Drosophila melanogaster: one gene and its partner. The protein of the gene in region 2 interacts with the protein of the main gene of each other region in a pairwise test. Each region holds a gene or a part of one and is shown on either strand. Other genes may lie near its edges. The genes, in order: IPIP and CG42788.

Region 1 (15,571 bases), on a different chromosome or scaffold from region 2:
TCCGAATCCCTCGGTCACGCCCAAATAGTAGTTTGGTACTCCTGCCTTTTCGTAGGTAGATCGAACTCGTTCCAGGTCTGTGTCCAGGACTTCCACCACCCATCCACACTCCTCGGCGAAGAGAACAGCTAGTTCGGGACGATTAAGTTTCTCGACAGACTTATCGAAGTTCTTGAGCTTGGCCAAGGGCTCCGATAGATCCACTCTAAGGCCACTCAGTCCTCCGATGGCCATCTCCAATACGCAAACAAGCAATCCTCCGTCGCTGACATCGTGTCCTGCTTGAATAAGTCCATCTCCCAACAACGATTGAGTCACAGCAAATGCTTTGCCCAGCACATCACTCCTTGTCAAGTTTGGCGTATCTTTGCCCTGCTGCGCGTATGCCTGAGCCAGAGCCGATCCACCTAGGCGAGCGCTGTTCTCCAGATTTATCCAGAGCAGGGAAGTCTTCGACCCCGCGCCGGGTCCTTTAAGATCAGGCGTTACCTTTAGCCGCACATCCGGACAGGGAGCATAGGTGGAGATGACAAGAGTACCCGGGGACTTTATTGTCTCACCGCCCACCTTAGCCGCCATGGACAGGGAGTCCTTTCCGCCATCGATGGCGATGTGAAGTTCCTCAAGAATCTGACAGAGCTCCTTGCAGGCGTCGAACATCCGGGCACCCTCGCCGGGCAGCTTTGCAGCCCACATCCAGTTGCCAGAGCACTTGACATCAGCCAGTTCGCTGATCTTTACAAACACAAGGTTACTCAACGCTTCAGCCACACACATCCTGGCCATTGCGGCGGGATCAAGCAGTCCTTTTAGTGGCTGTGTACCAATTGAAGTGGCGATTCCAGAGTGACTAAAGTGGGAGACGGTGGTTAACGCGTAGTCCGCTAGTGGAGCTTGGAGCGGTCCCACGCACTGTTGCTGTGCAATCAATCCACCGACGCAGCGATCCACCTTGTTGGTCAGGAAGCGCTTGCTACCGACTGCCACCAAGCTAAGAACTCTCTCCAAGGCCTCGTCCAGAAGGAGACCTTTCGGCAGACTCAACTCCTTGAGCGGCGTCTGTTCGCGTTTCAAGTCGTACGTTCTCTTGGGCATGTCGCCCAAAACGTACTTAAGTTCCAAGTCGAACGGTGAGACTTCGCTGCGATTGGACGCATTCAACGCCTGTTCCAGATCCTTGGGGGCAGGCTTCTCCAGCAGCGTTACTCGCCCATCTCCGGTCACCACTCCCACGAAGCTGATGGGACAGCGTTCACGGCGGCAGATCTTTTCCAGCAGTTCGCGTTGATCAGCGTTGCAAAGAATGGCATTGTTTTCCTGGTACTCGGCACCCCACAGTTCGAGGGCAGTGATCGTGGGATCGCCGAGTTGGAACTCCTTGGAGAAGATAACAGCTCCGGCAAAGCCTGGTTCCACTAGCTCCTTGAGGACATTGCCGTTGCCGCCAGCCCCCTGGTCATGGATGGCTAATATGGGGTTTTGCTCGCCCAGGTCTAGACAGGCTCGCACCACACGGTTCAATTTATTCTCCATTTCGGCGTCTCCTCGCTGTACGGCATTAAAATCTAGCTCAGCATCTCCGGATCCTTGTATCTCCACAGAGCTTGCGGCGCCGCCACCCACTCCAATCCTGTACACTGGGCCCCCGATCTTGGCCAGCAACTGACCGCGTGCCGGCGGCAGCTTCTCGCGCATGGTAGCGGGCATGGTGCCCAAGCCACCGCTGAACATGATCGGTTTCACGTACTCATCCCGCTGGCTGGCATCGGCAGCACTGTTCAGTCCATAGGAGAGGGCAAAACCAGAGATCACTGGCTCGCCGAACTTATTTCCGTAGTCGGAGGCGCCATTGCTCGCCTCAATGAGCACCTGAAGTGGGGGCGCAAACGTCGCAGGGTATTTAAAGTCCAAAGGCTCGTACGGCTGTTTGTAACCTGCGACGACAAGAAAGTCGTGATGTATAATAAAAACTAATAGGAACTAAATACTCAAAAAAAAAGCAATGCTCACCTGGAATGTGAAGAGCGCCAACACAGTAGCCAGCGGTGCCGGCGATCGGCACGCCTCCTCTGCCCACGCCCTGGACATCACGCAGTCGTCCGCCAGTGCCGGTGGTGGCTCCGCTGAAAGGCGCCACTGCAGTGGGCATGTTGTGGGTCTCCGCCGTGAAAATCAGGTCAGACTGCACGCTCTGCAGACGCACTGCGCCGGGAGCGACCACGGAGGACGGAACTATGGTCTGGTGATCGAATCCCACCATGGCACTGCTGTTGTCGCTGAACTTAATGGTGTTGTTCGGGTTCGTGTGGGCCTGCGTGTCCATGATCATGCGAATCAGCGACTTGGGCTGCTCCACGCCGTCGATCACCATACGTCCGCGGAAAAACCAGTGGCGCGAGTGCTCACTGTTGCTCTGGGCGCAATCGAAGAGCTCCACAGTGGTGGGATTGCGGCCCAGCTCCTTGGCAAACAAGTCGTGGTAGTAGTCCAAATCGTAGTCGTTGAAGGCTAAGCCCAGCTCCTGATTAATCCGCTCCAGTGCCGCCCTACCCTCCTCCAAAACGGGCACGAAATGCCAGTTGGCCTGGCGCTCAGGTAGCTGCTCGTCAAAGCTCGCCTTGGGGGTATTCTCCTCGGTGTACAAGCACTGGGTCATGCGGTCACCGAGCAGAGGAACAAACCTGGCTGCCTCCGGCGCCTTTGATCCCTCGCCAAAAGTAACCAGATAGCGGGTGGAGGTTTCCATGCGACGCACCTCTGAGTACCCGAGATTCTGGAATATGTTCACGCAGTTCGTGGAGTACGGCGTGGAGAAGTTAAAACGCGGCCCGATCTCCAGGAGCAACTGACTCGACCCAGTTGACTGCAGGGCAGGTTGCCTGGACAAGCTCTGGCCTTTGCTCAGCGGTTGCTTGACCAGCCACACCAGCAGCTCGTCCAGGGCCAGTGAGTGCTCTGCCTGAGCGCTGTACTCCAGATGATAGCAGCGCTCCATGCGCACGGACACCACGGCGCCGTCTTCCTCGCGCAACCGACGCAGGACACTCTCCTCCTCGGCCGCGGAGTGGGCCTGCACATCGTAGTAGCGAAGGATGACCATGTCGTGGGGCTGCAAGAAACGAAAAATGCGGATTGAGTACAGACAGTGTGCACTCCTTGCTCGTCGAATCGAGAATGATCTTGGGAGTTGCGAAGCGGTTGACGACCAGTGGGTCCGTGCCCACGCTGGGGGTTATCAACTGGCGGCACCTATACCACAGCCACACAGCCCACAACCCACAGCAGCGGATCAGGTTACAGCCGAGCGAAATCGATGGAATCGCCTGCAGCAATCGCTGCACTGGCGTCACAACTTGTTTTTGTTTTTCCCCGGCTGGGAGTTTGCTGATAAGCCGGCGTAAACATATTTTCCATTACGAACGGAAACCTGCGTTGCTGAATGGTCGGAATTTAGGTAAATAATTAACGCCAAATACCCCAAATTGAAGCACAATAACACTAACACTGAGCGGAGCACACGTGCGTCTTAGCTGCAAATTACGATCGTTTTGAGGCTCCAGCTCGGTTTCCCCTCATTTCGCGGCTCAATCCACCACAGCGTTCGGTTGGCCAGTGCTGCACAGCGACTGCCGCTGGAATTCAAATTAACCCTTAGGCGAATTGAGCTTTAAAAGCTTTCGTAAATTGTACCCATTGCGTAACTTGCAAGGGTTAATGCTACACGGGTTCAATGAACCAAATAGTTTAATTGTAATTCGTAAGGATTACTTGTTTATTTTGATTAAAAGCTTACGAAAACTGCTAAATAAATAAGTTACTTCTTTTGATAAGTTAGGTAAAAGTATTTCACCTTGTCCCTAGAACACCTGCTGTTTGATCATCAACTTGTTTCCAAGCACCCACTTTCCCCTTCAATCACATTCTTCGCAACTGTTGAACCAGATAAGGGACATATCAGTTTCCATGTCTGCGATGCTAACTAGGTACACAGTTGTTGAGCCACTAGGCACGTGGGCTTTTGATGATAAGCGAATAAAACAGACGCCAAAAATCGCTAATCAAGTATGTATGTAGAGAAAAAACCCACAAATCGACTTTCTTGGGTTTTATTTATACACAGAATGCTTAAAATTGCTGCAGTTGCACATGCGAACGTCATGCAAATGCAAAAAAAAAAGACGCAGTACAAGTGTGCTGCGAATTAAAATTAAACAATTGAACTTGACACTGGCTGGTCGTAGGCAAATATGTCGTTTAATTGCTCCTCTCGTTCTTCGAAATCTGCGGCGGCTTACAAAGCTTACATTGACTATGTACTTTAGGTTTATATATATATTGATCTGCATGAATGGGGGCCAGCATTAGCGCGAGTTCCTTCCAGTTCAGCCATTCGGGGGCACTTCTTTATCGACATGACTCATTAGCAGTCGATTCGTTCGAAGGGGAGTAATAATTATAAAATATATGCATTGAATGGCTTGAGAATAGAGGAAGGTGTTGCTGTCCCACATGTTGCTGTCCATGTCCATCGTGCCATCGATTAATTAGTTGTACTAAAACGACGACCGCGCGCCATCTAAATAATTCACTAGTGAACAGCCCCCGCGCGACCTTGCACTGTCGCCTTGTCGACACCTACGTAATGTGCATCGCCTTCGCCGCCTTGGCGGCCTGCGCACTGATCTCGTCCATGCTCTTCCGCGCGCTCTCCGTCACCTCGTCGATGGAGCGCCGTGTGTTGTGCAGAAGTTCGTCGGTGCCGCGAGCGATGCCCTTGACCTCCGTGTTGATCAGCCCGATCACCCACTCCAGGCCCTGGCGTCCCTTGCCGGCATTTGTGCTAATGGTCGAGGTGAGCAGGTCCTCCATGTAGTGGGACAGCGGCACACCAAAGACGGTCACGGTGGCCTCCTGCTTGAGCAGCGTCTTGCTGGCATCCGACGGATGCGGCTCATAGTAGAGCACCTCGTCCACGCTGATGTTGCGGCAGAAGGTGAGGTTGTTTGTCTTCAGCACCATCTGTTTGCGCTCCGGGTCCACCGTGGAGCGTTCGCTGGCGAAACAAGTTTTGGCCGTGCCGATCAGCGCGTGCGTCCACTTGGGGAAGTACCACTTGGACTGCACCAGGCGATGCGTGTGCAGGACGCCGTCCACCACACGGCGCTCGACCACGTCCGTGCCAATGATGGAGGGCGTCATCGGATTGGGGTACTTGCGCCACGCCGCCTGCGTGACCGTCTCCCACGGGTGGTTGAATATGTGCTCCGATGTCCAGATTTTCATTATGCAAGCGCCGTTGTCGTCACCGTCCGGGGAGGGCTTTATATCCTTAATTGGCAGCCGAGATGCGGGCTGAGCTGAGCCTGCGGGGGCAGACGGAACGGAATTAAACAGGGGGAGCGTTAGCTGAAGTACACGACTCGAATTTTGACGGCAATCTCGGAATTATTGAATATTTCCGAGACAAGTTACGAGAGCTGACCTTTACTCGTGCTGTGCTGCTAGAGATGACAGTGGCTCCGATAGATGGGGCTATCGCTGGCCAGTGCATGGGCTAGGGTGGTCACACTGGCGCAGTAAGAGAAAATGAAAGTGCCGCAGGCACCCTGTAGCGGTAACTTATTTATTAAATTTATAAACTAAATTAATTCTAAAAGTAATGGCGGCACTTTGACATTGCACGTGCAGCTTCCTATTGCGGCCCGAAGGTACGTACGTATTTCTCGTAGGGCCGTTTATCCAATCGCTGTAGTCGGCTCTCCACGAGCTCCCGAAAGTTGTGTATTACCTCGGCATCCGCCTCGATTAGTTTCCTCTCCTCGTTGATGATCTCGGCCAGCTGCTCGTCACTGTCCGCCGCCGCCCGACGTGACACCGAGCCCTCCAGACGAGTGCTGATCTGGTTGACTATCTTCTCGCTCTCGTAGTCCATTATCTTGGCCAGCGCCTTGGCCGGCGTGCGCCGCGCATAGCGTGACTCGGGTATGGTGGGGGCATCCAGGTACGACTCCTCCTGCACCGCCAGCGTGTGCGGCTCCTGCTGTTGCGCGTCTTGCTTCAGCTCCTCATTTGTGTACTCAATGAATTCCTGCAGGGAGGGCTCATCGGGATGCGTTTCGCTGAGCGTGGAGTTGTTTTGAAAATTGGTCAGGTGGAATGTGCCATTGGTGTCGTAGAACTTGTAGCCCAGCATCTCCAGCGCGATTTCCGTGAGTAAGTACGACATTTCGCAGGATTCAAAATTCGTTTATGTTTGCAATCTACATTGAAAACTAGAAATTCCGCACCCAGCAATCGATAACCGGTGGAGGTGTGGCAGCACTGGCCATCAGCTGTTCGCGCAGCGTCAATTGTTTCTCGCTTTGCATTTTTTTTACCTGTTCATCACAATAATAAGAGACGAAAGGCGGAAATAGGACACCCATATTTGCTTCGAATGCAGCCCGAGACAGTGCAGCCATGAAGATCAACGAGAAGAACCTGTACGTGTTCGCGAGAACGCCGCCCTTCGACATGGAAGGTATGCAAGCGAGCCCTTTCGCTCGTCTATTAATAATCATAATCCATTTATCACACACCGATACGCCTTGCAGGCTTCCTCAACAAACGGGGCGAGGTCAACAAGGCCTTCCAGCGACGCTACTTCGTGCTGAAAGGCAACCTGCTCTTCTACTTCGAGTCGCGCTTGGACAAGGAGCCCTTGGGCCTCATCATTGTCGAGGGCTGCACCATTGAGCTGTCTAACGAGGTGGACAACTACTGCTTCGAGATCGCCTTCAACGGCAATCGCACCTACATCCTCGCCGCCGAAAACCAAGACAGCATGGAGACGTGGATGAAGGCGCTAACATGCGCCGGCTACGAGTATAAGCGCATCATCCTGGCCGAGCTAAAACGCCAGTTGCAAGAGATGGAGGACGCAAGAAACAGTGAGACTGCACAATGGCTAATCCTACAATCCCTGTGCACTAATCCGCTGCGTTCTTTAACCTACAGAGATGCTCGGCAGCGCCTTGGACGGACCACAAAATGCATCGGAGAGTGCGAAGCCTAGACCGCCGCCCAGGCGGACAAATCCATTCAACAGACCCGCTCCTCCTCCACCAGACAGTTCGCTGAGGGGCGGAGTAGTCATGTCGCCCCTGCCATTTATCAACGGATACTTCGGATCGAGCAACGCGCGCCTGCAGCAGGAGAAGCTAATGAGCAAGCAAGGTATGAACACGTACTCTTAAAATGGATGTACAATGCTGTGGGTATAGTAATGCAAAAATTAACTGAACGGAAGTGACCAAATTGAAAGACGAAATGAATCACCATGTTCGGGGCTTTGAGTTTTAAAAGCTAATTTTAAGTGGGAAACTTGGCCAATAGATAACCGCAGAACTACAACTTTGCCTAAATACAATCATACGGCATTTTTCGGCCCCAAAGCCAGCTGTTTGTTTGTCCCAATACAATGTGAGTCTACCGTTAGTAGAAGCTAGAGATAAGAGCAGAGTGCTCTCAGTATAATCCGAACTTCGATTGCCAGCTTATCGTTGCCATTTACCCAGAGCCGATCTAATTTAGTCAGCGGAATGCCACTAAGCGACATTCTCTGCAAAATCTGTTGCATATTCCCAAAGCCAGGCTACAGGCACTTTCTACTTGCAGACGCAAACGGAAACGGAAGCCCCAGCGGAACGCCCAGGGCCCAGCGCCGTCCCACGCCCGCTCCTGCCATCGCGAACAGCGTCTTCTATCCCGATGTCCGGGATCCGGGAGCGGCCAACAATAATCACAGCACCGTCAACGGTGCTGAGCGCCAGCGTCGCCAGGTCAAAGCACTGGAGGAGTTCGCACGCAACCACGAGCGCTTTCGCAGGGAACTGATGCCGGATGTGTCCGCTTACCGCGAGCGCCAGGGTCAGCCGCTCATCCAGTTGTGATGTAGGAGTGGGCTGCTCCGACAAAAAGCCAATGTATTACCCGTTTTGTGCTAAATCAAATACGTTTCAAATGAACTATGCTTAATTTCCATACATGTTTGTTTCAATAAACAAAACTTTAGATATAACAAATTTCGGCGATCATGGCGCACTCAGTTATGTGGGCATACTAATAATTGGGTTTTTTAGGTTATTTGTTAGAATTGAAGGACTAAGTTGGTTTTAAAGTTAAACATAATGTTGGGATTACTCAAATGGATAACTTAAAGAAACCTAATTTTTGGATGACAAAGTTCTACATATGAAAGAACAAAACTTTTTTTGTCCAAATGAATAGACCACATATTAATTGTTATTTAGAACATAATATTTTTTAAAAATTCGATAGACACAAAACCCAGTGTGAACGGCGAAAATAATCGATAACTGCTAAGAAAACAAAAACATCGACGTTGGTTGCTTTGTGGAAACATCGATAATCGCGAGCAGCCATCGATACATGTTCCAGCTCTGTAACCTAGCGTTGTTGTTTGTAATTTAGCTGTGAAAAGTAATTAAGCCGCACACAGAACTGTAAGTTCACCCGCTAGATAAATATATTTGAGTAAAAGAACACAACCCGAAATGGTTAAAAGACTGCAAGAAGTCAGCAAACTTATTTGATTCGTTGAAGCCGTGAAATGTCTCTGTGTTTGTAAAGTGACGCTACCATTTTAAAGGTGAATTTTGCGCCGGGCATTGTCTTTTCTGTAACTTCGGCATGGACTTTTTTAGTTTGAAAGCCAAAACTATGAACACAATGCGTAGTTTTTCGGGTATCAAGAACTCATTTATCAAAGGCTAGGAATATTCACTATATCTGTTGGCGTCGCTTGCTGCGGCTTTCATTTTGTTTCTGTGCAAAAACCACCACACAAACACAGGGTCACACAGACGCGAGCACAGCAAACACACACCACCAAGCGGCCGAGAGCGGCTTGGTTTTGGACCGTTTATGCGAAGCTGAGCTCATGAAAACCGGAATTACCGTTTTGAAAATTATGTTTAGTTGATATTTTGAAACACTATTTCCAAATATAGAAATACATAACGTAAAAACGTAACGTGTTTTTAAATTTAATATTACGACCCTTCCTACTTCGATTTCACGTATTCAGCAGTTCATGAAGATTAAAACATAAACACAGTGCGCGCTACGCTCTGCTGCGTGTGAAGTTTGGTTCCGGTTTTCAGGGCTTGAACTTATCTTCTACATTGCTCCCTTCCAGCCGCCGAGCAGAGAGATCCAGACCAGTCCAGTCCACAATACAACCCAGTACTAGCGAGAAAATGTCGGCCAAGCGAAAGGCAGGTGGCAATGGAGCCGGACCCAACAAGCGGCGACCCAAAAAGAAGGAGTCGGACTACGAGGACGAGTTCAGCGACGAGTCCGACGACGATGGCGTGCAGCAGCAGGCAGCGGCCGCCAACCAGATGGAGGTTCTCATTCCCCACGACGACCTCGACCCGCCTAGCAAGCTTCCCGAGGACTTGCTGGCCACGCTAGAGAAGACTCCAGGTCAGATGCTGATCGCCGGCATGGTGACCTGGGACCTGACTGGCAAGCGGGACCGCAAGAACGTCACGAAGGTGCGGCCGAATCTGTACAGCTTCCATCGGTTCACAGAAGAGAAGGTAAGCTATTCCGCACAGTCGTGGTCCACTTGATTTCTGAGTTCTTTTCTTTCGCAGTACCGATATGTGGCCAGCGGACCCAGTGCCGCACACACCATTCTTATCAACATGGACCGCAAGGCGCTCGGTTTCGGGCGTAATCCCAGCGGCCAGCTGGGCCTCAGCCAAGACATCAAGTTGGCGGAGAAGCCCACCATTATTCCGGCCCTCGAACAGCTGAACATAGTGCAAGCTGCTGTCGGCCGGCACCACACTCTGTTTCTCACTGACACGGGAACCGTATACGCCTGCGGCGAAAACAAGTCCGGCCAGTGCGGTGTGGGAAATACGCATGCTAACATTTATTCGCCCACGCCAATTAACTACCGAGGTCCGCCGATCATTCGCATCGGTTGCGGAGCTGAGTTCTCTGTTATTCTGGACATTAAAGGTAGCCTGCACACATTTGGGCTGCCGGAGTACGGTCAGTTGGGACACAATACTGACGCCAAGTACTTTGTCAACGCCAACAAATTGTCATTCCATTTCGAGACGTCGCCCAAAAAGGTCGTTTTGTACATAGAGAAGAGCAAGGAGGGTCATGTAACGCCAGTCGATGGCGTGCAGATAGTTGACTTTGCTTGCGGCAATAATCACACGGTATGTGGATAATCTCCATTCCCCACTTATTTCAAGTCTAAACTACATTTTTCTCTTCAGGTCGCCATCGACTCCAAGAAGCGCGTTTATAGCTGGGGCTTTGGCGGTTTCGGGCGTCTCGGACACGCAGAGCCCAAGGACGAAATGGTGCCGCGTTTAATGAAGTTTTTCGATACTCAGGGTCGGGGTGGGCGCAGCGTCTTTTGCGGCTCCACTTTCAGTCTGATCGTCAACGAGCTGGGCCTGCTGTTTTTGTTCGGACAGAATAAGAAGACGGGCGAGGCAAATATGTACCCCAAGCCAGTGCAGGATCTTTCCGGCTGGAACATTACCGACATTGGCTGTGCCAATACATCGATTATGATTTCGGCCGACGACACACTGATCGCTTGGGGCGCATCGCCCACGTTTGGCGAGCTGGGCATTGGGGAGTTCCAGAAGTCGTCGACGGTGCCCAAGGAGGTGCCAAAGTTGGACAACATTAAAATACCTCAAGTGACTATGGGTTACTCGCACACGGTGTTGCTTGTGGACACCACCCATGAGGCCACCAAGCAAAAGTACGAGAAGATGCCCGAGTACACTATCGATGATTAGGTGATTAGATGGTGTGCGGCTTTCCAAGTGCTGCTGCAAACACGTTTACCGCTGCCAACAACAATACTGCTCCATGTAGGAAATTCTCAGAACTGATCATCGAAACTCTGCTGCTACTTATCGAAAGTGAAACTAAACACAAAAATCCAGCAAAATGTATGCTATAAGTTAAAAGATTATTATTACGCTAAACTCGCTATCTACATACTATACGATAATCTCAGAAAACGGAAAAAAAAAGTTGATTATGTTTCCAAACTCTAATTTATTCTTGTAACTGATACTATTCCATCCTGATCCTGTTCCCCTTTTATAATTTATTGCCGCCCACCTTTAGGCTTAAAAAGATGCATAAAAAGCATGATTACCCATTTTTAATTTTTAATTTGTAATTTAAACGTAACAAGTTACAGTATTCTGCATTCATTTCGAACAGAGTGAGCAAAAGCAACCACAAAACTACAAAACACGTAAATTAACGAACTAAGCGCATAGGTTACATATAAAAAGTATACCATGGAAAAATCCAATACCAGTTGCAACTATTAATAGTACATCATGCATTTTAATCTTATACAAAGGAATATTTAAATAAAGAGAATGTTAGTATTTAGACTGCACTCGTTTATCACTGGCTTTTCACTGAATGGTAAACATTAAAGCTACTTATAGCTGGCACACATATTTCCTATCGAGCAGGAAACTTTATGGAGGTTTGACTGTAGAGCGGCGAATCTAAGAACAAATTGGAATCAAGGATTAGCCGCACTGGGGTAGCTGTAGGTCAGTCCGCCAAGGGATGTTTGGCGGTATACCCCGATTTCTGACCTGTGCCGACTGAGTTCCCAGGCCCAGTCCCAGTCCCAGCCTTGAGTCCTCAGTCCTGATGTCCTGCCGATTGAAAGCGAAAGTCAGAGTGCGGAAAGCTCCGGCGCAAAGCTCTCTCTCTCACTCTCTCGCCGAGTCTCTCTGCTCTCTCGCGCGCGAGGACTCTTGACTTCGGAGTGCGACTTTGCGGCCGGAGCTCCGGCGGATTTTTCCCTGACACAGTCTTCCGCCGTGGTCCTGTCGAGTAATGTGCGCCGCTGAGGAACAATCCCTGCACGTCGCGCCTTGAGTTTCATTTTACCTTTTTTTCGCCCCCACCCCACCCGACACTCATACATACAAACACCGACCGCACACTCGCACACAGACACACACACACACGCGCACATTTGACAATATCAACAAAATAGTTCGAGGAGTTTTTAAAGCGTTTTTTACAAGTGTACGGCGATTCATTCTGCACACGAAATACATATTTGCTAAATTAAATATATTGAAAAGGCGGCACAGCAACGATCTAACTGTAAATTACAGTGCCTTCCATACAAAGAAAGCGCCGCAGAACAACATCGAGCAGCAGCAGGATCAGCAACAAATGCCTCAACACACTTCGTTAAGGATAACACGGTAGGACATTACGTATACGCAGTGGGGGAATCCTTGTTTATGCACATGTATATATGTGTGCATGTATAGGTTTGTTTGCGAGCGTATGTGTGTGCGTGTGTGCAACATTATTTTTCGCTGTTGTTCCACTAGTTATGGTGTCCTTTTTTCGGATGTGGGTGTGTGATTGCGTTGCCAGCGACCATCGCCTGCGAAACTAATTAGAAAGTGTCCTGCCCGAAATCCATTCACCAAATGGAGCCTAAAATTAAGGAGGGAATTTCATTTAAAAAAAAAGGACTATAAATTCCTTGTATAATTATTTCTCATCGCGCAGATACAAAGACTTGTTTGCTGGCCATTGTGGCGGTCACGAATAGGCCAACGAACAAGAAGCCTGGACAAGGACCCCCGGCATCCCCGACCATACCCATCCGTCCGTCCGCCTAATACGAATATAAAAGCTGCTGAAATCAATAAAGACAGACAAAAAGCTACGGGCTGGCTGACGTTAAAGCCAAAGGAAAAGAAAGGCAGGCAGGGCGCAGGGATGTGGATGTGGCTGTGTATCCTGCGCCTCGGCCAAGACAGGACTACCGCCCCCCAAACCACGGCTGTGTGTATATCGTATCTGCTTGTGGCACATTAAGTCACCTGTGGCGGACACTTTTCATATCGGCAGCAACAACAATGGCAAATCTCGTCATCATCGCTTTCTCTCGCTCACCTACCTCATTGGCTCTCCTGGCGGGCACATCCTTGTGCCCCATAATCCAGCTCCTACCCTCTTTCATCCTGGCTTTTGTCACCTTTTGAGCTTGTTGCTGACGTTTGAGTGACGCAAATTAATACATACACAATTCGTTTAGTTCTGGGATCGCCGCAATCCGCTTGCCAGCAAAAGTAGAGAAAGAGAGTAGCCCCAAGTCGAGAGCCTTCAGAATCACCGCCTGTCTATCCAAAAAGGCGTCAGCAGTCGAATATGCTAATTTGTGACTTGCAAAATTATTCCGCCCGATTTGCTCCACCACCGAATTATTTTTGTGGGGGCGTGACTTCAATATAAACAAAGATCAACACAGAAATGCTCAAGGAATCCATAAATCCATCGAGTCAGATGTGAAGAGGGTTCAAAAAACGAGTTAAGTTAAGACCATGCTCTTTAAACATACATATATCAAGTGTATGCAGATTGATGCTTTTCTCTCGGTGTATCGTTTATAGCAAAATATGTCTGTTGTCATTAAAGGTGAAGAGTGTGTTTTTGGGGCTTCAACTGCAGGTGCTGTCCTTTAAATATCAACAAGGACGAGCAAGGACTTGTTTGTTCGGCTTTCTCGCGCAATTAAGCGAAAACTTTCCCAGACATGCTTCCTCGATGGGGCTTAACGTCAGCGGAGCAGCGATGTCAGTGGCAGCCATCATCTGAACCGAATGACAGTGGAGGTCGCTAGAAAAGGGGTTCCATTTCCACTAGTTTATACTACCGAACTGATACTTAAATCAAGGCAGTTAAAAATTTAATATGAAACCGGAAATGGCTTCAACATCTCGTTAACGCTCTGCCCAATTCTACAGTCATCCGATTTTAATGAAGCAAAATTTACTGCCATGCCATGCAAGAGATATGAATCACCGCATGGGAATAGCCCACAAAGGACCCTTACCCCATGCACTCTATCATGAACACCGCACACACTTTTAATCTGCGACTAATTGCTGCTCCGTATTGAATTGATTTCGGTTGCCCCAAAGTGCCACATTCCAAATCTCCGTTGATTGGGGAAATCCCCGAAAAACATTCGAACCATTCGTCCCTGGCGAGCACAGAAACAGCGTCTCTGATTCTGGCAGGAATTGGAGGGCATAGGGCGGACCTTGTGGCGGTTTGTCGAGTGCACAAAGTGCAAGGTTGCGTGGCCATTCATTTCGCAGCCGATGGGTGGAAGTGGGCAGCGGTGGGTGGCGCCCGGAAGGAAGAGCATCAGTAATCTCTAAGTGCGCCTTGTTCGCATTCGTACTCGTGCCAGCATTGCATAAGTGTCAGTGTCAACGGGGCGGGGATGTGGTTGTGCTTGGTGGTTATGTGGGTGTTTGTGTGGTAGTAGTGTCCTTGTTGGCAGACAAAAAGACTGATGATGATGGCATTTTGTTACTTTGCTACCTTCCTTTGTCGCCCGTCGCACGGCAGCTCCTTTAGTATGAAATGAGGCGACCAGGCAAGCGCCTCGTCATCGAAGATCACCCAAACAGAGTACGGACCAGGACACGGCAACTCGCACAGGCACAGGAACAGGTGCAGGCACAACAACTGGCAGGAGCATCGGTGTCGGCAAGGGATACTGGCGCGGGATCGAAAGCATGAACAGGGACAATCTGCAGCAGTGGTGGGAGAACTCGTATCGGCGCCAACATCCAGAGCCCACCGATGACCTCGGCCTGGACTCCGCGGAGCTGCATCTCGCCCTCCAGGAGCCCAACCAGCTGCCCGCGGACTACGACTATGGCAACTTTAGTCTAGGCAATCCGTATGACGTGGACTCAGAGCACTCCATTTCCCCGCTGACGCTGCTCCTGCTCGCTGTTAGCTATGGCCTGGTGGTTTTCGGCGGCGTCGTGGGCAACTCCACGCTCGTTCTGACCCTCTGCTCCGCCTCTTCGGTGCGTTTGCGTAACCCGCTGCTGCTGGCCGTCTGCATTGCCGATCTCCTGGTCACCGGCATCTCCGCTCCGGTCACGCTCCTCAATCTCGCGATGAACCGGAGGACGCGATCGCTGCCCCTTGTGCTGTGCAAGGTCATACACTACGTACAGGTGAGTGGGTCAATCAAACAAGCTTAAGTTAGCCAAGTAACTAAGTTAACCCCACGCTATTCAGGTCATGCCCGTTTCGGCCAGCACTATTTCGTTTTTCATGCTCTCCCTTGACCGCTACGCCACAGTAAAGCATCCGCGATTGGCGCAGCTTCGCCAGCGGCGCTACTTGCACGTCTCCCTGGCGCTGCTATCCTGGCTCGCCTCTGCCGCCATCAGCACTCCCTTTCTGTTTGCCTACAAAATCATCGCCAAGTCGATGGTGGTCAAGGGCGGTGGGGCGGCGAACACCACGCCAAACCCGGTCAGCATCAGCTGCACCTCCGACCTGGGCGCCAACGCCATGTTCATGTCCTTCATCATCTTCCACACCATCGCCGTGTTCGTGTTGCCTGGCATTGGTGTGCTACTCAACCACTACGGCGTCCGACGCAAGCTCTGCGCCCTGTCGCTAACGGCTCGAGCTGCCCATGGAGAGCTGC
Region 2 (15,496 bases):
AACTCTTTTGCGAAACGCTAACAACGATAACAGCTTCCACCTGCATGTCCCACCAACAAAGCCAAAGGCAATGTTTTCCTCTTGTTTTTAGTTTTAGTTTATCCACGACTTCTCCCCAACTATTTCAGCGACGTTTGTGTCTCGTTTTTGTTTTGTAATTTATTTATAAAATCTTTCCCCCTACACACAACCAGACCAAAAGTTGAGCAGAAGACGCACCCAAAGAAAAGCAAAAAAAAAAAAAAAAAAAACTAAACTGACACCGGAAGTTGTGGCTGCCTCATCTTTGGCTCGTCTGGGGTCTTCTGCCCAATCTGCATCTTTTACTCTCCTTCGGAAGCCAGACAAATGCTTTAGAGACAAATTACTTGATTTGCATATACTTATATACACTCTCAACCGAAAAACCTCTCAACATTGTCAATTTTTTTGTACTTCTACACGCTCTTCACTCGCTTGATTCTTATTTTATGGAAATTTATCAAGAAATTGTCGGAGGCGGGATGCGGGCGGGTCGAGCGCAAATTTGACGCGCAGTGGAGCGCAGCAGGAGAATAATCAAGCAAAGGGAAAACTCCCAGCTTACCGCCCCTTTTCCCAGCTGCGCTCCACTGTCAGTTGGCCAAGCCGGCTTTACTTAAGACGGTCTCCATTCATTCATTAATGCCCAAAAGCAGCAGCGACGCGGGATAGACATCTGCAATACCCAGATACTTTTTATTACACGACTCCCGCTCCGCCGGCGAAAAACATTGCACCAGCATAATCCCAATAAGACGTTGATTCGGCCTGACGGACTAGATGCCATTGCTCTAGCAACGATTACAGCAGCACCAGTTATACAGTACACCAGTTCCACAGTACACCAGTTGCCCAGTAGCAGCGGTAGCCAGAGTGCCCAAAGTTAAAGCCAACAACTGTCGCCTCGAATGCACAGTGGTTCAAGGTCGTTGGGGAAACGATAATGCCGACAGATTTACGGTGAATGGATCAACAGATGGTTTATAGATTGCACGCATTGATGATAGGTTTATGAACAGGCAAAGAATTGGGAATACTGATGATTGTTTGATGGGATCAACAGATGGGCGGCGTATATATGTATATATAGGTGTGTATATTATCAACTACGGTTTAGAAACTTAAGTTTATAAATAGCAATAATCACATGATTTGTTTTATAGGTATTAAGCAGCTAGTTTGCAAAAAGCTCATTTTAATTATTTTGCTGATTATTAAAAATTACTATTACTTCGCCGCATTGCCGTTATCAAGCCATTTTAATATTTCAAATAATTAGGTGGGCATATAATCAGTGGCCTAGAGTGGGTAATTAAGGAAAACTAGTTTCCACAGATGAGGCATAATCTGAATGCGATGCCTGACTGATGCCCTTAACAGATTGAAATATAAGTAATGCCAGGCGGCGCCTTAAGGCTGACTAAGCAAACTTTTCCAGACCCAGTTGCTATCAAGCGATGATCAGGTGTAATCCGATCGTTTATAAATAGTCTGGCGTAACATCGAAAACAATCTGCGCTGTTTGGAGCACTTAATCAGGCGGTAACATCAACCTGATTATGCAGCAGGGCGCCATTACTTAAGCATCATAGGAAATGAGTTCATACATTTTCAGATCACTTTTCTACCAATGTGCAATGGTACAATCGTAAAAATGTAGGGAATTAAGTCAGTCAGTGACTGTGTGTAACAGTTAACTGAATTTGTCTCTTACCATCTCGTTTGAGCCCAAAGTTGCACAACCGTGGCGGGGAAAAGTGGTGGAAAATCGGACAATTGGGTGAACAAAGGGGCGGCAACGGGGATCAGATGAAAGTCTTACTCAATCCAAGTTGCAGTCTGGGGCAAAAAGTAAAACTCAGTTTGAATGCAGCGCAACTAATTAGTTTTGAGGCTGCTTTTCTTGCTGCTGCTGTAATCGCAGTGGGCCACAGACAGCGACAATTTTCCCACTGAATTTTCACTTTTTTTCTTTACCCGCGCTTGGTTCGCTACGTGCCCGGCTAAAGAAATCAAAGAAAAACGAGTTAAACAAAAGAATTTATGAGCTACGAAAATCTTTTGGCCCCGCTGGTGGGAAAAAACGGGTGGGGAAAATGGTAAAAATTGGAATATGGGATGGGAATGGGTGGGAGTGGCAAGCAGTTCTATCTTTGTTATTTTTCCCATTGGCATCGTTGTTTTTCCCAAACAAAATTTCCATAAAAGTACATGCTGGCAGTCGTTGAATTAAAATATTTAAATTGCTTTGTCAAGCCAGATATAAAGCATATTCCTTTAAATCCAATGTGTACATACGCATATATTTTTATTTAAGTTGTCTAAAAGATCTCAATTAATTCCTGCTTGGCGCACAAACTAAATGAATTACGCTCCGACCAACAGAAACTTTCGGAGATTTATGATTTTCGAAATGAAATATGGCTTTGGTAGTGCAGGATTTCTCTAAGCTAAAATATTGTTCTCCTTTCAAAATGTGAACCGAAGGAAAGGCCAACGAAGCTTGTAAAATTAATAGAAATTTATGGTTTTATGGGTAACAGCTTACCTCAAAAACTTGTTACACAATAACCTTTAATTATATAATATTTAAGAAGTATAAAAATAAACAAAAGCAACAAATAGCATTTAATTGATTTTAAATAGGCTATTTTAAGTGATCGAAAGATTTACTCCGAAGATATTAACCAAATTGGGAATCCCACATATATCAGGAAATTGAACGTGCAGAAATGACAAATCAAAGTAATCGATGACCCTCCACAAGGGTATCAAATGGATGCCAAATGCCTTTACGATTATATATATACTTTTTTTTTATTTTATTTCGGATTTCTTTGTCGCGACTCTGGCCCGCTAAAATTCAAAATCATGGCCATGGCTCCTAGCATGCGATTTCACGTTTTTCGTTATTTTTATTTTTTTTTACGTCTTATGGTCTTTTAGCCCCACATCACAAGTAGAAAACACAATCACAAACACTCCGACCGAGAGACACGCAAATAAATAAATAAACATGGCTGAATAAATGAATATTAAATGGCCAAAAGCTTTGACCAAAAAGCGAAAAAGTGAGGAGGTAAATAAATACAAGTAATAATGGGAAGATAATAAACAAAAACGATATTCGATACGCAAATGGCAGCTAGTGTTTAAATGTTTGCCTGGCTTATCAGTTTCCTTTTTTTGTTTTGTGTTTGGGTTTTGGCATTTGTTTAGCCGAAGTCCGCAGCGGAAACTCAAAGCCTAGGCGCATGCATCCGCAGAATGCGTCAAAGATATTTCGAATTTTGATTGACGACGACAAAAGATTGGACGCCGACGTCATCCAGCAAATATTTCAAAGCTTGAATTTGAACTTCGGGCTTGACGTTGATATTTTTTTCTAATGCCTTTGCCGCCCACGTACGCGGCTAAAGATACAACAGCAAAAAGATACAACTGCGATAGATACTTCTATACACACACACATACATGTACATACATTTATTCAGGCGGGAGCGACGAAACCGCGAGAGCGGAAGCAACTACTTCGACAGCATAGAAGTGTGTGCGACCCAAGGGGGCGTGGCGGGAGGTGGAAACCGGGGGCGATGTGCGAAAGGGGGAGTGACAAGCTTTTGCGGTTTTTAGTTACACCGACCTCAGCTTGTTTGTCGGTACAGTGGGACGAATCGGAGTAAAATCCATACAAAAATATTATTATTAAAACTACTGAATAAAATAATACAACAAATAAATAAATAAAAAATATGAAATAGGTAATATAAGAACATAGTATTAGAAATTACGCATACGTAATACTTGAAAAAACCAAAGAAATTGTTAACATCAGAAGAGACTCATTTTGATTGTCTTAGATAATAAAGATATACCTAAGATGAAACCAAGCTAAAGAGCGGCAATTCCTATATTATTGGTTATCAAAATTATGCCTAGGTATCAATTTATCGCAAGCATCGTCAATCATTTCTTGATACTAATTATTGCATATCAGCATTCCATTCAGCGTCACTTTGTCCCCACTGTCTTTTGCCTTGCGCTATTGTCATTTACTTTGCGGCAAGCAATTACATGCGACAAGCCGAGCGGCAGTTGTTTGTTGTTGTTTTAGCTGTTGCTGCTGCTGCCGTTGATATTTGATGTTTGCAGCTTATGGTTTTTGTAGGCGTGGCCCAGTTTATTGTTGCTGTTGTTGCCGCTGTCGCAGTTCGCCACATTTGGCCGAGAAAATTGATGTCATGCCGACTTCTTTCTGGGCTCTAGCGCGAAAACATGCGTAAAAGGAGCTGCGAAAAGACAACTTCTCTGTCCGACCCAACCCGCTGCGCCCCCAACATGCCACACGCCCACTCTTTGTGTACTTAATGGCTGGTGAAATTAAAATGCCTGCGCAGCAAACAAACATGCACAAACTTTTTCGGCCAGCGAAGGGGTGTGGGTTAGGGTGGCACGATATGTATGTTGGTCGAGCAGGCCACAGCATGGAATAATATTTTTGGCATCCAAAAGTTTTGGTTATCTTAATTGAGGCTAATTTCAAATGAGAATAATATTAAAGCTTTAATTTCATAAAATCTAGTATTAAACTGTTTATGGAACGGATCAATAATGTGCTCTTAAGAAATTCAATCAAATATATTTTCCGCTTGGTCCCAAATCAAAGTATTAATTTGGTTTCATGTAAAAAGGGGGCATCAACCAACTATGGGTGGTGAGTGTTAACGGCGGTGGAGAGGCTGGGAAAAGGAGGGAGCGAGATGGGCTGCGTTTAACAGCGGCGTTGGCAGCAGCACTGGGCGCTTGGCATCTGTCAAACGTGTCATACGCAAAATAGCTTAACTGTCATAAAAACAACAAGTGCGTCAGGCACCGGAGATCGTAAAACGCTTTATTACAATACCCCACCAATTGGAGTGGGGGTACGGCAAATGTGCGGCGACGTTTATGTCTCACAAGTGGGTGAAAGGGGACGGAAAGGAAAGGGAATGGATGGTGGTGTGGGCAAGGTGGGCGAGAGGTAAACACTCGAAATTGCACAGGAATTCCTTGGGCGGTGTTTGTTGATTTACATAATGTTTATCTTTTACGTTTTACCCGATTTGTTTGATTTATTTATGAACTGACCCCAAAACCGACAAGATTTCTGTGTTCCGCGAAATTCTGTTAATATAATTAGTTCACACAGTGTGGATAATATTATAATGACCTTTCCAGCGTAAACTTTTAGATGGCTATATGGATTTAGATGGATATATAAAATATCAATTCAAAGTAAATATAACATCCCCATACAATTTGCAATACAAAATCGACCGTATTTTGGTTTAGTTAAACATTTCATCTATTTATTTCAATTTACCTATTTATTTACTTTCCTCCGCTTATTTGTTTGATTCTCTAATTTATTTATTTAGTATTCTTCCCACTCTCTTCCCCTCTCCCATTTCACCACTTATTTCCGTTTCCTTTCACCCCTTGCCGCTGCGCCATCTTCCTCTTCTGCTGGTCAGAACGCCAACGCCTCGCACAAATACACACGGCCATAGTTTTTTGCTCCATGCACATGGCTGTGTGTGTGTGTGAGCGTTGGGGGTTTTAATAATAGCGCACACACACATTATAAAAGCTCCCGCTGGAGCAGAGAAATGTTGCACTAAAAACTTCAACGCCCGCACTTCTGGCACATATCAAACAGCAAGCAGAAATCACAAAAGCAAATACAAAACTTTCTTGCCAACACACACACTCTCACATTTCGCTTCCCTTTTCAGAGAGAGTTTGTGGGCGGAAGAAAGGGCTGCGGAGGCGCAGGCAGGGGGCGGGGCGGTACTGCCACAATAATAGCCTTGTTGTCTGCGGCAACAGTTATGAAAAGTGCGGAAAAGAGAGGCAGACACATAAAAAACAGGAAGTTTGTTGACTTTTTTTCAATTAACACAAGGGACGGCGAGAAAGAGAGAGAGAGAACAATTCTCTGCTGGGGGAATTGCACAATTTATGGGCTTTTGCACTATGTAAACAAATGCTTATACAACAGTCCCCTATGCTGTTTATTAAATATGATTTTAGTTTTACTTTGCTTTTGCTGTATTGTGTGCGTTTTTCGGCTATTTGTTTAATTTAATATTCTCAATTTGTTGATTTCCTACGATTTAACTTTAACTTTCATGTTCATATTATACTTTTATTTTTATTTATATATATATTAAATAATTTCCACACATAGTTCATTTATTTAGTTTATATTACTTGATGAAAAGTTGAAAACAAAACCCCAACATAAATGCAAATCAAATCGCACGCACACCTGCAACTAACACCCACTCGCACACATACACATACGAGTATAGCGTACCTCTCACAACAACAATTAGTTTGCACCAAAATGCACTGGACGTCGCTGCTGCTGCTCCGCTGCGTCGCTGCTACTGCGCTATAGCCGCCAACGCCGCCACTTTGTTGTTGCCTTTGGGGCTGTTTTACCTTTGTATTTGCAAACACATAAAAACACACACACGCACTCACTTGGCGGCGCCGCTTTCTTTACACATTTTTCAAGCAAACTTTTTTCAAAAGCACACAGAGAGGCAGAAAGGCCCGCTAGACCGCTATTTCCGATTCCAGTTCGAACCCGAATCGACGACCGTCCCGCTCGCGATGCAAAAACACAATGAGACTGGCGCGGCAACAGCTGAAACAAACCCCAAGTGTTATCGATCTATCGACGAAGTGTTATCGACATTGTATACCCGCTATCAAGTTCGGTGCGTGTCTCTGCTAAGTTGGGAGTGTGTACTAGCTATTTAAGGGTAATTTGAAATTCGAAACGGGGACTTCCCGAAAAGGTAATAAGCAGTAATTTAATTTTAATTTAATTTATTTGTGCTTTATCCCTTATATATATATGTACATTTCATTAAAGCTAATGGTATAATTAGGTATTTACAGTGTTTAGCTAAGGCTTTCATCTGAAATATTTATTAATTATGTCTAGTTGACCTGTTTTTAGTTTTTTTTTGTATAACAATATTTATTATTTATTAAGGAAAACAAGGGAGAAGAAAAACCTTAATTGACTTACAACTAACTTAAAAACTAAGACTTGAAACAAAAGATTGTTAATATTGTATTTTTTGTTGAACTTTTTGTACACCTGCTTTTATATGTAGGTACTTAGTGTTTGTGTAATAAGGTAAGTTCATTATTAATTTTAACAGCTTGTTTTGGCATATTTGAAGTTTTTTGATATGAGTTTGAGCACATCTACCCCAAACAGGTGACCCATACATTAATATTGGATTAAAAATTGTTTTAAAAATTATGATCTTATTGGATATTGATAATTTAGATTTACGATTTATTAGAGGGTACAGTGTGCAAATAATTTTATTAACTTTCATAATTGTGTTGTTGATGTGGTATTTAAATGTTAGTTTTTTATCAAAAATTATACCCAAATATCGAATGTTGTCAACCCATTGTATTGGAGAGTCTAGTATTCGCAACTGTCTATCAGGAAGATAACGAGGTTTCCTTCTTTTTGTAAAAAATATATGTACAGGGAGTGTAAGCTTGGAGTGATGTATAGGTTTATGAGGGACTGCTTTAAGAAAGGCATAATTGATTACTCTAGTGAAAGAGCCGATTAAATTATCAATATCCAAAGTCGATATCTGTGAGCAGTTGACAACCACCTCTTCAACCATCAGCCTTTCATTTATAATTCTCTTAAAAAGCGCCCAATTTGCCCTTCCCAAAATCGGATATGTTTTTACATTGCGCATAAAATTTGTAGAGTATTTAATAACCACTGGTAGGTGATCAGAGGAAAGCTCTTGCATTACTGCTGGATTAGCCAGCTGGTTAGGGATATTAGTGAGGCATAGGTCCAATGTTGATGCTTTTGCTTTATGGTTATGCGGAATATATGTGGGTTGCGTAGGGTACAAAATACTGAATTTTCCCAGATCTGAAAGTTCATTGAGAATTTTGCCCCAACCATTGGCTCGGGTACACTTCCATGCTCTGTGGCGCGAGTTGAAGTCCCCGCAAATTAGAAAATTTCCATTTATTTGTGAGATCTTAAGGAGATCAGATCTATACAAACTTTTTAAATGATTATGGTCCCAAGATAAATCACATGAACTAGGAATACATTTTGAAGTATTTCCAGCAAAGTAAATAGAGTAAATTTTTAGACTGGAATTAGAGTCAGTGTTGATTTGTATACCTACATTTTCAATAACATGACTTTTAATGCAGGGTATTTGTTCATGTATCAATGTGTTACTAACTGCAATGGCAACGCCGCCTCCCCTACTTTCCTTCCTGTCATTTCTGTATATAGTGTATTCGGGTATATTAAAACGGTCACTATGAGTCAGCCACGTTTCATTTATAAGTGCTATGTGAATGTGATTATTTTCTAAGAACTTGATCAGTTCTATACGTTTGTTTCTAACGGCACGAGCATTCCATGCCATAATATTCAAATTATCAATAAAATTATTTGTTTGTGTAAACATACTTAATCGCTAACTGAGAAATTACTTGAAATTGCTCTCCCTTATTGGAGCATTCATTAAATCTTGTTATTAATTCAGACAAAAGAGAATTTATCTCTTCACATGAAAAGAGATTAGTTTCACTTGTGATATTTGCTTTGGGATTAGGCAAAGTATGAATATTGGTGAGTGCATTACTATAGCTACCAAAGTTGAGTTGTTGCACTCTCTTAGTTTGAGTAGGCAATGAGATCTGGGGTTGATTTCCAAAGAGAGCAGATGGAGCGATGTGTTGCTTAGAATTCCTCATTCCATGAGCTTCCAAGTTATTTCTTCCAATGCGTTGTGATGAGCGTTTGGAAAGTAAATTGAGATAAGAAATTCGGCATGGGCATGTCAGTTCTGTCGATGGATGGTCGCCTTTACAGTTAGCGCATTTTTTGTTGTTTACGTCCATACATACGGCAGTCTGGTGTGATCCAGCACAATGGGCACATGATGTTTTAACTGAACAATTATTTGATCCATGTCCAAATAGTTGGCAATTGTAGCATTGAGTAATTTTATTCTGCAATTTCACTTTATACTCCCAGCGTACTTTAGTGTGGTTGACATACATAAAGTTTTTGCGCAGTTCCTTTACTGTGATACTTTTGTTTACGAAATAAACAATGTACAGTAATAATTCATGATCAGACTTAGTTTTCTTTTCCACAATTTTGACTTCGGTGCATTGTAATCCTAGGTTTTGTAGCATGGATTTGACAGTTTCAATTGGTAGTTTATCCAGCCCGGATAAAATGGCTTTGTATGGCTTGTTTGATCTAGTATTGTACGTGTAGAACTCACAGTTATGTTCCTTGAGTTGGTTACAAGCTGCATTGAAACAGTCCATATTTGGTAAAAATATTTTAATTCCAATTGAGATGGTTTTAATAAAGTAATCATCAGTTTTAATTTTAGCCATTAGCTCGTGTACAAATTTTGTATTTTGTTTAATTAATGTTATAGGAGGTGGCTTGATTATTATTTCATCAAGTGTGTCCGTTTCAATAGGTTTATCATCATTATCATCGTCTAAAGTTTGTAGTGGACGAAAATAATTTGTAAATTGCTTGGAGCCCCGTTCGTTCTGGCGCTCCACTAGTGGTTTATTCCTTTTAGTACGCATTTTTTCAACGGCAGATGCTTCAGCATCGCCAATTGCATCACTTGAACGTTTGATTGTAGTTTTTTTGCGAATATCACAATTAAAGAAGAAAACAGAAAATATTTAATGTACACCAAAATGTTCTCAGAGAGAATAGAAGATTTTACATCCGCGTTCGACAAGAGCTAGTCGAAGACTGTAATAAGCAGTAATATTAACGTCTTTCTATGTAAGTTAAAGTATGTTTATTTAAGTTGCAGAGAGACAAATTGTTTTAGCTAATAGCACTTCTTGTTGCACCAATCCCAGATACATCCGTCCATTGCATTGCAACCAAATTCTCCAGGATAAATGCCACAAAAGTCCTCGATATTCATGAAGGCACAGCTTCCTTTGGGACAGTAGTAACTGTAGCAGCCCGGTGAGCACTTATCCCGCTGGTGATCCTTGCAGCCGGAGCAATCCAAAATGTCTGTGGAAACACAAGATTGTATTAATGATCCTGAAATACATTTTTTATCCTTATCTCTTCGATAAGTTCGTTAAGCAGATACTCAATGTAAATAATAAAAGAAACGATTTGAAGACTCACCGCTCTCCTTGCAATCCGGCGTGCTGCACGCCAGAAGTGGAGGATTTGGCGGCATGACCACTCGTTTCGCGTTTTCGTCATATACGACCTTCGGTGGCTTGAGATATACCACCGGGGCCGTGCAGACTCTGGAATCGCAGAACTTATTCTCCTTGTTGGAGCACACCCAGTTGGGCGCATAGTTGATGCAGATGCGAGGGCTCTTTACAAAACAGCATTGCGGTGGAGGATGACGCCCCGGAAAGACTTCATTAGCCGCCGACTGTTCCGTAGATGGCCTCAAACTGGGGTATATCCAGGGACGTCTGGTTGTTGTTGTGGCTACGATGTTATCTATAGTATAGTCATAGCTCTTGTCGTTATCGGGATCATAGGGTGCGGATGTAATGTACTCCACACGATTTATATTTTCGCTGGTCACCGAGTACTTGTGCTCATTGTGGATCACATTGTCAATCTCAAGGATAGTGGTGATAAATCCCGGTTGTTGGCAGCGTTTTTGATACCACACGGTTCCCGCTGGGCATGCCAATGAAATGCAACGGCCAGCCTTATATTCACCCTCCGAACAGACGATTTTCCTGCACTGCGAGTCGAAGTAAATCGATCCCGGTGGACAGCGAGTCAGTTCTGTAATGACGGGAGGCGCAGTTGTTGTTGTTGTTGTTGTGGTAGTGGGCTCTGTTGTTGTTGTTGTGGTAGTGGGCTCTGTTGTTGTTGTTGTGGTAGTGGGCTCTGTTGTTGTTGTTGTGGTAGTGGGCTCTGCCGTTGTTGTTGTGGTAGTGGGCTCTGTTGTTGTTGTTGTTGTTGTCGTAGTAGTAGTGGTCGTCGATTCAAGCGGGCAAGGCTCAGGATTCGTACGATAGCATAGTTCATCAATGCTAAGAAAGTATCCTAAACAAAATGACAACGAAAAAAAAAAACAACAAAAAATCTCACGAATTAAAGATTTATAAGTTTTTTACTAAGTTACCAGGCCCGCACGTTTTGTTAGTCTGTGGATAACATTTTCCATCCGCTTTCAATTGATATCCTAATGAACGATAAAACCAAAAATAATATAATAATAATACATTGGTTTTTCATATACTTTTTTAAAATTATCAGTTAAAGCATTGAGTAGTTCTATAAATAGTCATACACAGCTGCTGATTAAATTGGGCACCATTTTTGGTACAGCGAGATTAACCATTTTTTCAGAGATTTCTTACCTGTTTGACAAACGAAAGAGCTTTGCCACACGCCGTTGACATCCTGATATCCCTGCGGAGATGTCGGCTTCTAGGGGAATATATTTGTATAAGAATAGACACCAATCCTCAGAGTAAACCACATTCGGTTACCGCGATGTATGCTTGAGCACTTCCGCAAGGCACAAGGGTGATCAGGCAGGCAACCAGGGCCGATCTGAATGACTTCACAAGCATACTGTTTAACTTGCTTGCTGATCCGGGAGCTGAGACACAGATTCGCGATGTACGGCGGTCCGCACTAGGCGAGAGACTAATCGAAGCGACGCTGAGCTCGCTGGGATGCCTTTGGAAAGCATAATTGCTGGCGCTGCGATAACCTTCGTGTTCCAGATAACGGTGAAGGTCGCTTGGGCTGCAGCTTCAGCCGTTCCTAATCCGTCACCGGTGAGCCGGGATCAGTTCGAATCGAAATGTCTGACAGTGAAGTGGGTTTCCGTGTGCAACGGCTGCTGCTGTTAATCTGTCTTGGACTATTTCCCGCGACGGTTATCACCAATTATACACCAAATCCCTGCCAAAATGGTAAGTTCGACTTGGAAGCGTTTATCCGTCAGTCCACTGATGACATCATTCACATCTTAGGTCAGGTTAATGCTTATATCGTTTGCAGCCCCATTATTTTGAATATGTATAGTAACCTGTGCGGAGGTCAAACGGGGATTCAATGCAATCCTTCCAATCCTGTGACTACTGTTGTTCCTGGTACCCCCGGTTGCCCTAACACTCCTCAATATCCTACAGTGGTTCCGAATAATCCATTTAATCCCAATGTAAATGTTGTTCCTGGTACTCCCGGTTGCCCCAACACTCCTCAATATCCTACAGTGGTTCCGAATAATACATTTAATCCCAATGTAAATGTTGTTCCTGCTACTCCCGGTTGCCCCAACACTCCTCAATATCCTACAGTGGTTCCGAATAATACATTTAATCCCAATGTAAATGTTGTTCCTAGTACTCCCGGTTGTCCCAACACTCCTCAATATCCTACAGTGGTTCCGAATAATACATTTAATCCCAATGTAAATGTTGTTCCTGCTACTCCCGGTTGCCCCAACACTCCTCAATATCCTACAGTGGTTCCAGATAAGCCACTTTGTCCCAATACACCAACAACTCCAGCTTGTCCCAATGCCAATGGTCCGAGTTCCTGTAATTCGAACGGCCCATCTTCGTATCCCACGAACGGTCCTAGTATCAATGCTCCTTCCCCAACTTCTCCACCAACTACCACTCCCCCAAGTGTTACTGAGCAACCAGCGCCTGCACCTCCAGCAAATCCAACACCACCACCTCGACCGATCCCAGTCCCAGTCACTACGCCGCCACCGGATCCCATTATCCGGTGTCCGGAGGGAACAATTTTGGTGAAAGGTGTTTGCCGTCTACTTTTCTGCGGGGAAAATAGCTTGTACATCGAAGGACGCTGCATTCAGACCCGCTGTCCTGCTGGATATGTTTGGACGGGTATCCGGTGCTCGAAGCCTCAGCCATTGGAGCTCGGTAACATCCACATAGAGAACACTGTCCACCAGCTCCCAGGAGCTCTGCCCCACCTGATCACCAACAATGTTAACCACGTCATGGTAAACGCCTCCATCACAATCCCAGAACAAGCCTCCGAAGAGGAAGAGGAGCTGGTGGAAGTGGTGGCGCCACCACAGTCACCCTCAAGCCCCTGCTGCAACGTATTCGCTCCGCGGGTCTGCGCCACCCAGGCGGGTCAAGACGGATACAAGTGCTTCAGCAGGAGTCATCATCAGTGCGGTTCCGTCTGCAGTGCCAGGAAGGTGATGCTCGCTCCGGCCGCAGTAGCCAGCTGGACTCAGTCCAACAGCCAGATGGTGACCATCCCTCCCAACTGGGCGGGTCAGGCCTGTCAGTCCAATAATGGGATTTGCCAGCAGCCCCAGAGTGAGTTCAGTAAAGATAGTTGTTACATGCAAAGTAAAGTCCAATTTCATCGTTTTTTGTCCACTTTAGACTTCTACGACTGCAGTGGCTGTGCTATGGGTAACCTTTCGACCTGCTCCTCGTACTGCTACTCCTACAAATGCAGCACCCACAACTGCGTATATTACGACCAGGCCCAATACTGCTCCCAATATGCAGGTCAAACCGGATGCCGTGCGGAAGATGGATGGATGGATTAACACTCGCCAAGCGCAAATTATTGAAAACGTGCTTATCATTATGCAATCAATACCACTCAAAAAACAATAAAAAAAATAAAGCAATTAATAAAGAAAAACAAATTATAATAATCTTTTTTATAATACTTGAGAGCCTTTTTGATAGTTAAAGCCTCTCACAATTCCGTTCAACCTTAAACTTTTTCAGTAATAGTTTTGTCGTCATAGGGGCCATAGTGTTGATGTGATATTTCCGAATATTCAATTCTGAGCTTAAAATTGTGGAAAGCGGATGTGTCTATAATTTAGGTTAATGTCTTAGACAATAATTATTTGTGTAAGTGTACAAATTATAATAGCATTTATCTTATCTCCAAATATCGACTGATGATTATAAATTAAATGATAAGATTAGATTACCCTACGTGCTTCAGCAGAGCTTAGCTCTTTTCTTGAAAGCTCCAATACTCTTACATTAGGGCGGGGATAAGCAATATGTAAGTGCTCTAGTTAACTCCTCCCTTACTGTTTAATAAGAGTGTCCTGATTGACTCAGAGTTAATAGATGGCTCATTGTTTAGAAGTTTATTAGCTGCATTATTGCTGGTACTATGTCGGTTATCGTTCTAGAACCTATGGTTGTACGACTGCGAATTTTGAAAATTTATCTATACAGCTATCTATTCTGGAACAATGTTTTGTAGAGCGATAAAAGCTCTTTTGAGTTTCACAGCTTAAAGAAAATTTTTTTTTTCAGATTACCGTAACAATATTGGAAAAAAGTGGCACCAGTATATCAGAGAATAAGTCATTCATCAGGGTCTGTTTATGTTTTGGGGATGCGTAGCCTTCACTGGCTTGGGAGATTTGGTTCCTGTTGATGGATTTTCCTGTAAGTAAATGAGTTAAAAACAAATATATTGAATATATTACTTGTCTTAATACTTATGCCCACTAGTGTATTTAACCTCTGATTTCCAAATTGAGTGAAAGCTTCGCTAGTAATCAATTCTTTGATAGTGTTATCTAACCTTATCTTCGAAGGTAGGTTCCAGGTGCCGTGATGATGATGGTGCCATAGCCTCCACTCAACCACTGCAGTTCACACTGCACTTTACGCATAGCCGGTCGTCCCAGAAATTTGAAGAGCCAAACAGTTGATAATGGCACATTCAATGGTGAGTTACCGGGATCAGGAAAGTCCTGGAATTCGCAGCGCTTTTAAGCCCCAATAAAACAAAATTTCTGCAAGTATTGTTAATATTTTTCCACCAAAAATCAGCAAAAAAAAAGTTTGTACTTTAATCTAATCATGTGTACAGAAAAATGTCAAAGAAATTGATAATGGTTTTCATCAGCGATGAGTAATTTCTTCGACCTATTAGCTCAATTAAAGAATAGGGGAAAAACACAAATGCAAAAAAATTAATTGAGTTTTTAACTATTTTCGCAGCTGAAACTGGGGATGATGTGTGGAATACTCCACCTGCTGACCTTTGGAGTCATTGCCGAGGATCAGCTGAAAAACAACACAATAGTGGTACATACTCCTCTCCAGAACTACGATCAACCCAATCTCCAGGACTACGAGGAATGCCAGGTGAACAGGGACAATTGCATCAATGTTTGCGCTGGCAAACAGTCGTGCGAGGACGAGTGTCCTGTGTGCCCGGACCTGTACGTCAAGCCCCTGATGGTTCAGGGCATTAACGATACGAATATAGTGGCACCACCCCAGGTACCTATTAATACGACCAACATTATTCGGCTGACCAACGATATCAACAATATAATCGAACATCAAATCCAAAATCGCAATGAGGTCAATGTCCAGGTGAATC

What was found.
Region 1: the proteins of CG42788 (region 2) and IPIP interact in a two-hybrid assay, tested with the Drosophila melanogaster proteins (one large-scale study listed by BioGRID).

What each region holds. Positions count from the first base shown.
Region 1 is NT_033779.5:6,042,418-6,057,988, forward strand, and holds IPIP (inositol phosphatase interacting protein), read left to right. Parts: upstream 1-5,584; 5' UTR 5,585-5,692; coding exon of another isoform or gene 5,693-6,226; exon of another isoform or gene 6,227-6,276; 5' UTR 6,277-6,459; coding exon 6,460-6,520; intron 6,521-6,593; coding exon 6,594-6,929; intron 6,930-6,996; coding exon 6,997-7,215; intron 7,216-7,656; coding exon 7,657-7,931; 3' UTR 7,932-8,021; downstream 8,022-15,571. Other genes in the region: Pfas (phosphoribosylformylglycinamidine synthase), read right to left, coding at 1-1,934, 2,011-3,100; slmo (slowmo), read right to left, coding at 4,636-5,283; CG34179 (uncharacterized protein), read right to left, coding at 5,322-5,363, 5,717-6,226; CG9135 (uncharacterized protein), read left to right, coding at 9,261-9,605, 9,663-10,244, 10,305-10,841; CG13995 (uncharacterized protein), read left to right, coding at 14,637-15,089, 15,154-15,571.
Region 2 is NT_033777.3:15,125,229-15,140,724, forward strand, and holds the start of CG42788 (uncharacterized protein), read right to left. Parts: upstream 6,699-15,496; 5' UTR 6,380-6,698; intron 5,632-6,379; exon of another isoform or gene 5,526-5,631; intron 1-5,525. Other genes in the region: CG6912 (uncharacterized protein), read right to left, coding at 9,957-10,150, 10,271-11,164, 11,244-11,303, 11,482-11,551, 11,614-11,697; CG3984 (uncharacterized protein), read left to right, coding at 11,934-12,045, 12,106-13,437, 13,507-13,676; CG3987 (uncharacterized protein), read left to right, coding at 14,819-14,833, 15,109-15,496.